Linked DNA regions of Oryzias latipes. The protein of the gene in region 1 purifies or fractionates together with the protein of each later gene. This does not show direct contact. Links are inferred from orthologs where the notes say so. Each region holds a gene or a part of one and is shown on either strand. Other genes may lie near its edges. The genes, in order: limk2 and ttc1.

Evidence for each region.
Region 2: the proteins of limk2 (region 1) and ttc1 purify together in Homo sapiens (affinity purification with mass spectrometry; 3 studies listed by BioGRID and IntAct, counting the BioPlex papers as one, with this or other methods). This does not show direct contact. The link is inferred for Oryzias latipes from reciprocal best matches to the Homo sapiens genes LIMK2 and TTC1.

What each region holds. Positions count from the first base shown.
Region 1 is NC_019876.2:4,308,326-4,312,142, forward strand, and holds part of limk2 (LIM domain kinase 2), read left to right. Parts: intron 1-176; exon of another isoform or gene 177-270; intron 271-601; coding exon 602-737; intron 738-2,806; coding exon 2,807-2,916; intron 2,917-3,154; coding exon 3,155-3,340; intron 3,341-3,565; coding exon 3,566-3,671; intron 3,672-3,817. UniProt on the Homo sapiens protein: Serine/threonine-protein kinase that plays an essential role in the regulation of actin filament dynamics. Acts downstream of several Rho family GTPase signal transduction pathways.
Region 2 is NC_019872.2:23,096,690-23,100,606, reverse strand, and holds the start of ttc1 (tetratricopeptide repeat protein 1), read left to right. Parts: upstream 1-1,660; 5' UTR 1,661-1,756; intron 1,757-1,889; 5' UTR 1,890-2,011; exon of another isoform or gene 2,012-2,089; 5' UTR 2,090-2,098; coding exon 2,099-2,431; intron 2,432-2,584; coding exon 2,585-2,645; intron 2,646-2,775; coding exon 2,776-2,888; intron 2,889-3,917.

The DNA.
Region 1 (3,817 bases):
TTCCTCATGTGACCAATCAGACTTGTTAGATTCAGATAGCATATTTAGATTTAATTTAGCTTGCATATGCCCCAAAGAACAAAGAAATTAAACTCCTGCCTGGACCTTGAGGGAGTTTGATGGTTTGCACCTTTTGACTTCAGCACTAACAGGATCACTTGTTCATGTTTACATAGACGGAGATAAGAAGAGCAGCAGCAATAAGTTTAAGTGTTGGAAGACGAATGCAGAGTAAACAAGCAGGTGATCGGTGGACTTTCCTCCAAAGAGGTTTGGAACAATACAGCCGCTTAGCAAAGTCTGTAAAGTAAATATTTAGTAAATCCACCACCCATTAAGTCTTATTCAAAGTGGAATAACAAGTTATCTTCCCAGCACTCAGAACAGAGGCAGCAGGTCTATGCCCTGCGTCTAGTTTAATAGAACAACATTTATATTTTCCTTTAGTTTTTGGATTTTTTTAAAATTTTTTTTATTGAATTTCAATTACTACCGCTGATACTGTTTGCTATTCTTAAATATCTTTTGATTTGTCAACTGTTTCTTGCATTGGATAAGTAGTCATCCTTTTTGATCTGAAGGGTTTTTGTCGTCTTTCCAGATGTTCTGTGTGCTCTGACCTCCTGACTAACTGGTACTATGAGAATGAGGGCAAACTGTACTGCCGAAAACATTACCTGGAGAAGTTTGGAGAGTTCTGCCATGGCTGCTCTCTGCTCATGACCGGACCTGCTATGGTAAGTCTGCTGTTTTTATTATTTTCCTGTCTTTTTTTATTTTTTGGAACCTTTTTTTTTCATGTTTTGTGACTTTTGCTACAAGAAGTGGAGGGACAGTGGAAAACTAGTGCTCTCTTGGGAGCTCTTCAACAGCGTTTGACTTTCCTTTAACCCATACTTGGTCTTTTTCTTTCTTATACTACATTTTTCAAAGTATCTAGAAAACTTGATAGTTTTTGAGTTTCTGACTGAGACATGATAGTCCACTGAAGGTCAGCTAGTGGAAGCACTCTTACCCCCTTTAATAAACATTAGTACAATGGCTTAAAGTGACCACACAGGCTTCTTAAATAGTTTTTTTTGTCTTAGGATGGATGAGTCCCGTCTTTGTTTTTCTCTTAACATCTGTGATTTCGCAAGACTTTAACGGACTACATTTCAACTTTTACTCAGACGTTTTGCCTCTATCCGCTTGTCTCCTCTGCTCATCCAGCAACATGCAAGTAATATGTCCTTCAAAATGGCCATTAAGCATGGTGATACACGTTGAAACAGGCGGCTAGCATGCATTAAAAAAAAAAAGCGGAGGGCTGCATTGGCCGCAGTTTAAAAATGAGTGATACTTCACTTGGGCTGCTGCTGAACTTAGCAGAAGGAGTTCTAGACTTCACTTGTGAATTGGTTTCCCCCTCGAGGCCCCAGAGGCCCCAGTCTGTTCCCTCTCTGCACAAGTTCTCCACGGTTCGCCTCCCCACATGCTGTAGGAAGGAGAACATGTGCTCCTTTTTGGAGCATTTAGACTCCTCTTTTTTTTATTTTTCCCAAAAATATGATCTGAATTGATGGCTCTTTTAACATTCGAGAATGCGTTTTTAAAACTGAGGAGTTACTTCACATAACAGAAAGTAAAAAGAGGAGCTTTGATCAAAGTAGAGAAGCTGATGTGGGTTAGATTTAGTGCAAATGCCACTCAGGCTCGGTTGTGGGTCTTTAAGTTAATCTCCTGCTGGTTTCAAACTTGTCCAACATGAAACCAGACTTGGGTTTTTTTGTTTTTTTTCTTTTTTTCTTTTTTGCTACCAACTAACACACAATGGAGCTTTTTATTTATTTATTTTTACTCGCATCTCGCTTCATCAGCCAGTGAGGCCAAATGTTTTTGGCAGGGCTGAAGTGGCACCACAGTCTGTCAGCCAGAAAGAAAATCATTGTGGTCCAATGGTGGAGGAGGGTCACGCAGAGCGGCTGCCTGCTTGTTAAGCATTCTTCCCCAGAACACTGCTGTTTTTGTCCCAGTTAATTATTTGTTAGTTTATTGATTCATTGGGATGTTTTGCATCTTAAAGTTGTTGTTTTTTGCTTTAGTTTTTTTTCTTCACCATTTTGATGGGTTTTTTTTTAAAGGAGCCTGGTTTGTTTGAGTTAAAGCAGCACGCCACTGTGCTTCTGTTTTTGGCTTTAAGGCTAGGAGTTGGGCTTTCACAATAATTTGGTTGTCATCATTTTTAAGCAGCTGAAAAGTGACTCCCAACACCGTCTGACTCAGAGCTGTGTCAGATGTTGGAAAAGTACTCCAAGAAAAAGGAAAGGGGGAAAAAAACAACTACATTCCTTAACATTGCAATTACAAACTCAGGAGCATCTTTTTGACAAAAAATGTCTTTTCTTGCATAAAACAAAAAGCATTACATTTAATAGAGATTTATTCAGAAACCAGCCTTTCTTCTGAACAAGTATGTAACTAACTCTTGGATCAAAGGGGCTGCATTATCTCATTTTGCATGAGAGGGATGAAACAAGACAGATGTAGCCGGTGTGTGACATTCATGTCGGAAGGCAAACCGGCCCGTCGTGTGGAGGCTGTGTCACTGAGACAGACTTGAAAGGCAGAGCAGCAGTGATTCAAGCGGCTCAGACCTGCAGAGCAGATGACGTCAGCAGATTCCAGACGGGCTGAGAGAAAAGCAGGTGTTGAGGGTTTCACGCTCGCAGTGGAGAGGAGGTCTTAAGGCGAACGCGCAGTCCTCTTTGGATTACTTTTTACTTGAAGCTGAGTGGATGATTTGCTGGTTTTTGTGTGGTTCCAGGTGGCTGAAGAACACAAGTACCACCCTGAATGTTTTGTTTGTCTAAGCTGCAAGGTGGTGATTGAGGATAGAGATACTTATGCTTTGGTCGAGCGGTCCAAACTCTACTGGTAAGTTACTTCAACCTTTTCAAGCCATTTTTTTAATATTAAAAGTAGATTCATTGATCATTTTTAGATATAGATAGTTTTACATCTTGTCTATGAAGTGCCTTATTTGCATTTATGGTAACTTAAAATGTTTTTTTGCCTTTAATCATATTTATTTAAAGTCTTCTGATGATTTTGGAATGATAGTAGAATGGTAAAAAGGCTAAAGCTGAGGTGCTTCGATGCATGTTTTTTGCAGTGGAAGGTGCTACAAACAGGAGGTCCTCAAGCCAATGTTGGAAAAACACTCTCAAGACTCCGTCATTCACTCCCTGCCCCACACAGTGACCCTCATCTCCATGCCCTCTGCAGCCAACGGCAAGAGGGGCTTCTCGGTGTCGGTGCTAAGGGATGTCGCTGGTTCTGCAAATGTTCAAGTGAAAGAGTGCGTTGCTTCTGATGCTTATTTTCTACTCGTATGAGAACAGAATGAGTAATGCATTACGTAAGGTTGATTACAGGTCTGTTAAATAGCAGGTGTGGAAGTGTGCCACTGCAGGAAAAAGCAGCAGTCGGTGGTTTAGTGTTGTTGTTTGAGTGTTGTTCTAGTTCTTAGAGGGGCTGTCCTTGTGTGCTCACATATATTCATGTTGGTGCTGGGTTGTTTCAGGGTCAGAGGCATGCTTATTAGTCCAGAAGTACGAAATGCCATCCATGTCGGGGACAGGATCCTGGAGATCAATGGTCTTCCTGTTGAGACGCTGATGGAGCAGCAGGTGAGATTTCTTTTTTTTTTTTTTTGGTCTGATACTTCAGGGATGAGGTGATCTTTCAACTGAAACCAACAGTTTCTTTTTACAAAACTTGTTGTTGTTGAACAACACTTTCCTACGGCTTTAGCTTTGGACATTTTTCACATTCC
Region 2 (3,917 bases), on another chromosome or scaffold:
GCTGATAGTTCATATAAAACTGCACTCAATTGTCCTGATATAATTTTTTTGTGGACATACAGACAACCTATCCTTTTTAAAGTGAGCAAACAGCAGAAGCGGGACTCTATGGATCTCAACACAGGTTTTGAACAGGAATACAAAAACGTTGCCATGGTGACAAAGGAAGTTTTAAAGACCCACTCCAATGAAAACTGTGTTTTTAACATATTATTTTGGCATTTTCCCATGATGGAGGACACTTGTAAGGAAAATAAAGATTAAAATTGACTTTCTGAGTATTTTATTATTCAAATTGTAGTGAATCAGGAGCGGACGAAAAAAGTTTATTTTAAAATTGGAATTACAATTGTCAGGCCACAAGCTCCCTGCTCTGCTCCATTCTGATTCATCCAGTTGCAGTCAAATAGATTCATGTACGTCTTTGTTTTCCTCGTCTGACCTGGAATCTGGATCAGAACTGTATGGCTGGATAGCTACAAAATTGCTCCCCATTGTCGTTGCATCGGTAATGTTAGGTTAGAGGGTGAGAGGCTAGAAAGGATAATGGGGTATCAGTGGAGGCTCACTTCCACGCCAACAGTCTTGCCCACGATTCTGAGTTTAATTTCTAGTGAATTCCTGCTGCGCTGCAGAAGCTATGACCTAGAAAACGACACAGGTTTTTAGATTTTGACTACTACTGGCATTAGAGTGGGACATAAATGTGTATGAATCAAGTGCCATGCATACATGAAATGAATGGTTCCCAACACCTGGACATGACAAAAAAATGAACTTAATTTGTTCGGAGCAAGGCATAATCCATTACTATGGGTGACATCACATTCACTTGGGTGAGTTCTCAAATACAGTTGCTGCAAAATAGACTGAAAGTTCATATATAAACACGTTTATTTTGTATTTTTTGGTGAACAAGGATTCACCTTTTGACCCCTCCCTAATGCTTTTCTGCATCCAGCTGCTGACATACCACTACTTTTAACATTAAACTTCTGATAAACCATTTAGAATCAGACCTTGTATTTGCAGCAGGGTTTGAACACAATGACAACGAATCCACACAGGGCACGTTCTAAGGAGCGTAGTTAGCCTTCGAGAGAATAAAGAGGAAAAGTTTGTATCCCTCTGAGCCAATCCCTGTTTGTTCCTTAACAGACATTGGTTTAGTCTAGCGCACTAATTCTCTGTATAACCTAAATTTTTATTTGATCCTTTATTTAATATCGTTAACTTGTTTTTCCATCATTTTGTTGAGCTCAATTTTCTCCTGAATGAAAAACCAATGAGTCAATGAGTTTACCCATCAGGAGGTACCAATCATTGTTTTCACACCGTGTATGGTCCACCCTCTGAGCCTTGCCACCAAAGAGTTTCAGGTAGATGATCTCATGATCTCTCATGACAAAAATTTAAAAAAAATATATTTCTAAATGCCATGTTTGTTGTAATTTTTTTTTTTGATAATTTAAAATGATAATGAGTGAGCAGGTATTTTGTTTTGCCGCACAGCCAATGTTTAGCTAAAGTGACCAGCTGGGTCTTAATAAATCCTATACTAACATTTATGTTTGTGTCACTGCGACTTTTGGTGAATTATTTCTCTTAAAAACATTGATTGGTTTTGTTTTGCTTCTAACCGGAAGTGCAATAAACGGAAAACAGCTTGGTCACGTGGTTTAGGAGGAGGCGTAGCCTGGCGGAGACAAACCCGGAAGTGACGTCAGAGAGCTAACCGGCTAGGCGCTGTTTTCAGGTGAGACTGCGTTTTCTTTCTGTTTTAGTGCGGACCTGCAGCGTCCCCACATGTTGTCGTGTCGTGATAAGTGTCCGAAGTTTATTTAGGTCGCCACAGTCATCCGCTTGCATTCTTTGTCGTTCTTTGACAGGCAGGGCGCGCGCACCGAACCTGACCCACTCCCAGCAGCAGAACCGAGCGGTGTTTGAGTGACATCACTTGCTTGGCTCTGTCGCCGACTTCCGTGCGGCTTGGCGTGGAACCTGCAGTAAAGTAACGTGCAGAGACCAGACCATGTAGGTCATGCTTAAGGCTTCTGTCCTTACTTAACCTGTCTAACCTGTTTGTTAGAGCCTCAGAATGAGCAGCCGGGGAGGTGGGGAGACCACAACCCAAGAGGAGGATTTCTACGACTGTCCAGAAACTCCTGAGCATCCTGATCCCATTGGAGAGGAGGAGGAGGAGTGTGAAGAGCAGAGGAGGAAGAAGCAAAACCCTACAGAGGAGTCTGACCTCAACGTGGACACAGACACCCAAAGAGGAAACGAAGACAAAGAGACAGAAGAAGAAAAAGAAGAGGCCGAACTAGAGGATTCAGACGCTGAGTTCAAAGAGGAGGTCTGCAGTGGAGCCGAGTTTGATGACGACTACTTGAGGGAGGTGGAGAAGACGCTGACCGAAGAGGAGAAGGAGGTAAGATGCAGTTCACGGTGGTTATGAGAGGAGCAAACGGCCGCTGTAAACAACAGTGCAGTTCTTTAGAATCCATTACTGCTGAGTCATGGAATCGTGAGTCGAGCTTTCTGCAGGAAATTTTTTTCCCTCACATCTGTCATGTTGTTTCAGAGTCGACGACAGCAGAGTTTGACCCTGAAGGAAACAGGCAACGGCCAGTTTAAAGCAAGAAGTGAGTAAAAAAAAAAACTGCTTTAATCCTGTTTGTTACCCTCCTGGAACCTATTTATAACCCCTTTATGTGTGTGTAACCCTTTTTTTGTGTGTTCATGTGTGTAACCTTTTTTTGTGTGTTCATGCAGACTGGTCTGAGGCAGAGGACAGCTACTCCAAGGCTTTGGCGTTATGTCCCGTGTGTTTCAGCCGAGAGAGGGCGGTGCTGTTCTCCAACCGAGCAGCAGCAAGACTGCATCTGGTACCACTGATATAACATTGTTACAGAACTGCCAACACACTTTAGCTAACATTGGCCATTACCACTGACTATATAAGAGAATTGGACTGAGTGAGAGTCATGTCAGCCACAGAAAATGGTTTAGTTCCTGCTCCAACCAAATTAAGTCAATTCAGTCATCCTTTTTTGTGATACGGACTTCGCCATGTTGGAACCAGACAATGGCATTAAGCAGTGATTCGATTTAGTCTGAATCAGCGTTTCTGTGGCAACCACTCTCACCAATCAGAAGTGATCTTATTAGAAGTCTACAACCCTACTTGAGAGTGGACTCGTGAGATTCTGTCAATCAGATGTTTCGAACGTTCAACGCAAGACAGCATAAAGGCATCCGATTGGTCAGTTTACAACTTGGATAACTTGAAACTACCAAAAAAGAAGGAAACAAATGTAAAAAACTAAATAAAAAAAAGGTATCATAGCAAGAATAGTTATTCTGACAAATAGAATGACTGAGTAACAGCTGTTTATTTCTCTATGAAAGTCTATGGGATTTTGGCTTCTTGGAGCCAGCTGGTACTTCCTGTTTGGAATGTGAGGGGTCACTCAGTCCAGTTCTCATCTACAGTCAATGGCTATTACACCATTATGTATGAAGTCAGCATTCTCAGAAATTACCACGCGTGGTGGAAGCCTGAACCGTCCAACGCCCGAACTGCGTTAATTCCGATAGTGCACACTTTAAGCCACTATCCCACTTACACCATTTACAAAAGAAGTAAATATTCTATCAATTTTTAGTACTCTATTCTTGTTATCTTTTCAGTTTATATCACTTTTTCCTCAAAAAGCGAACTATTTGTTACGTGGTGCTGCGCGTTGCCATGGTAACGCAACAACGTGCCGCTTATCTCGAGTGCAGCAGCAAAGGAAAGCGATATCTTTGATGATCGTCACGAGGGGTTAAATAAAGCATCAGTTCAAGGAGGGAGGGAAGGAGGAACAACACTACCAAAGCTGATTACTGGATCGGTCAAAGTTTAACCTTCA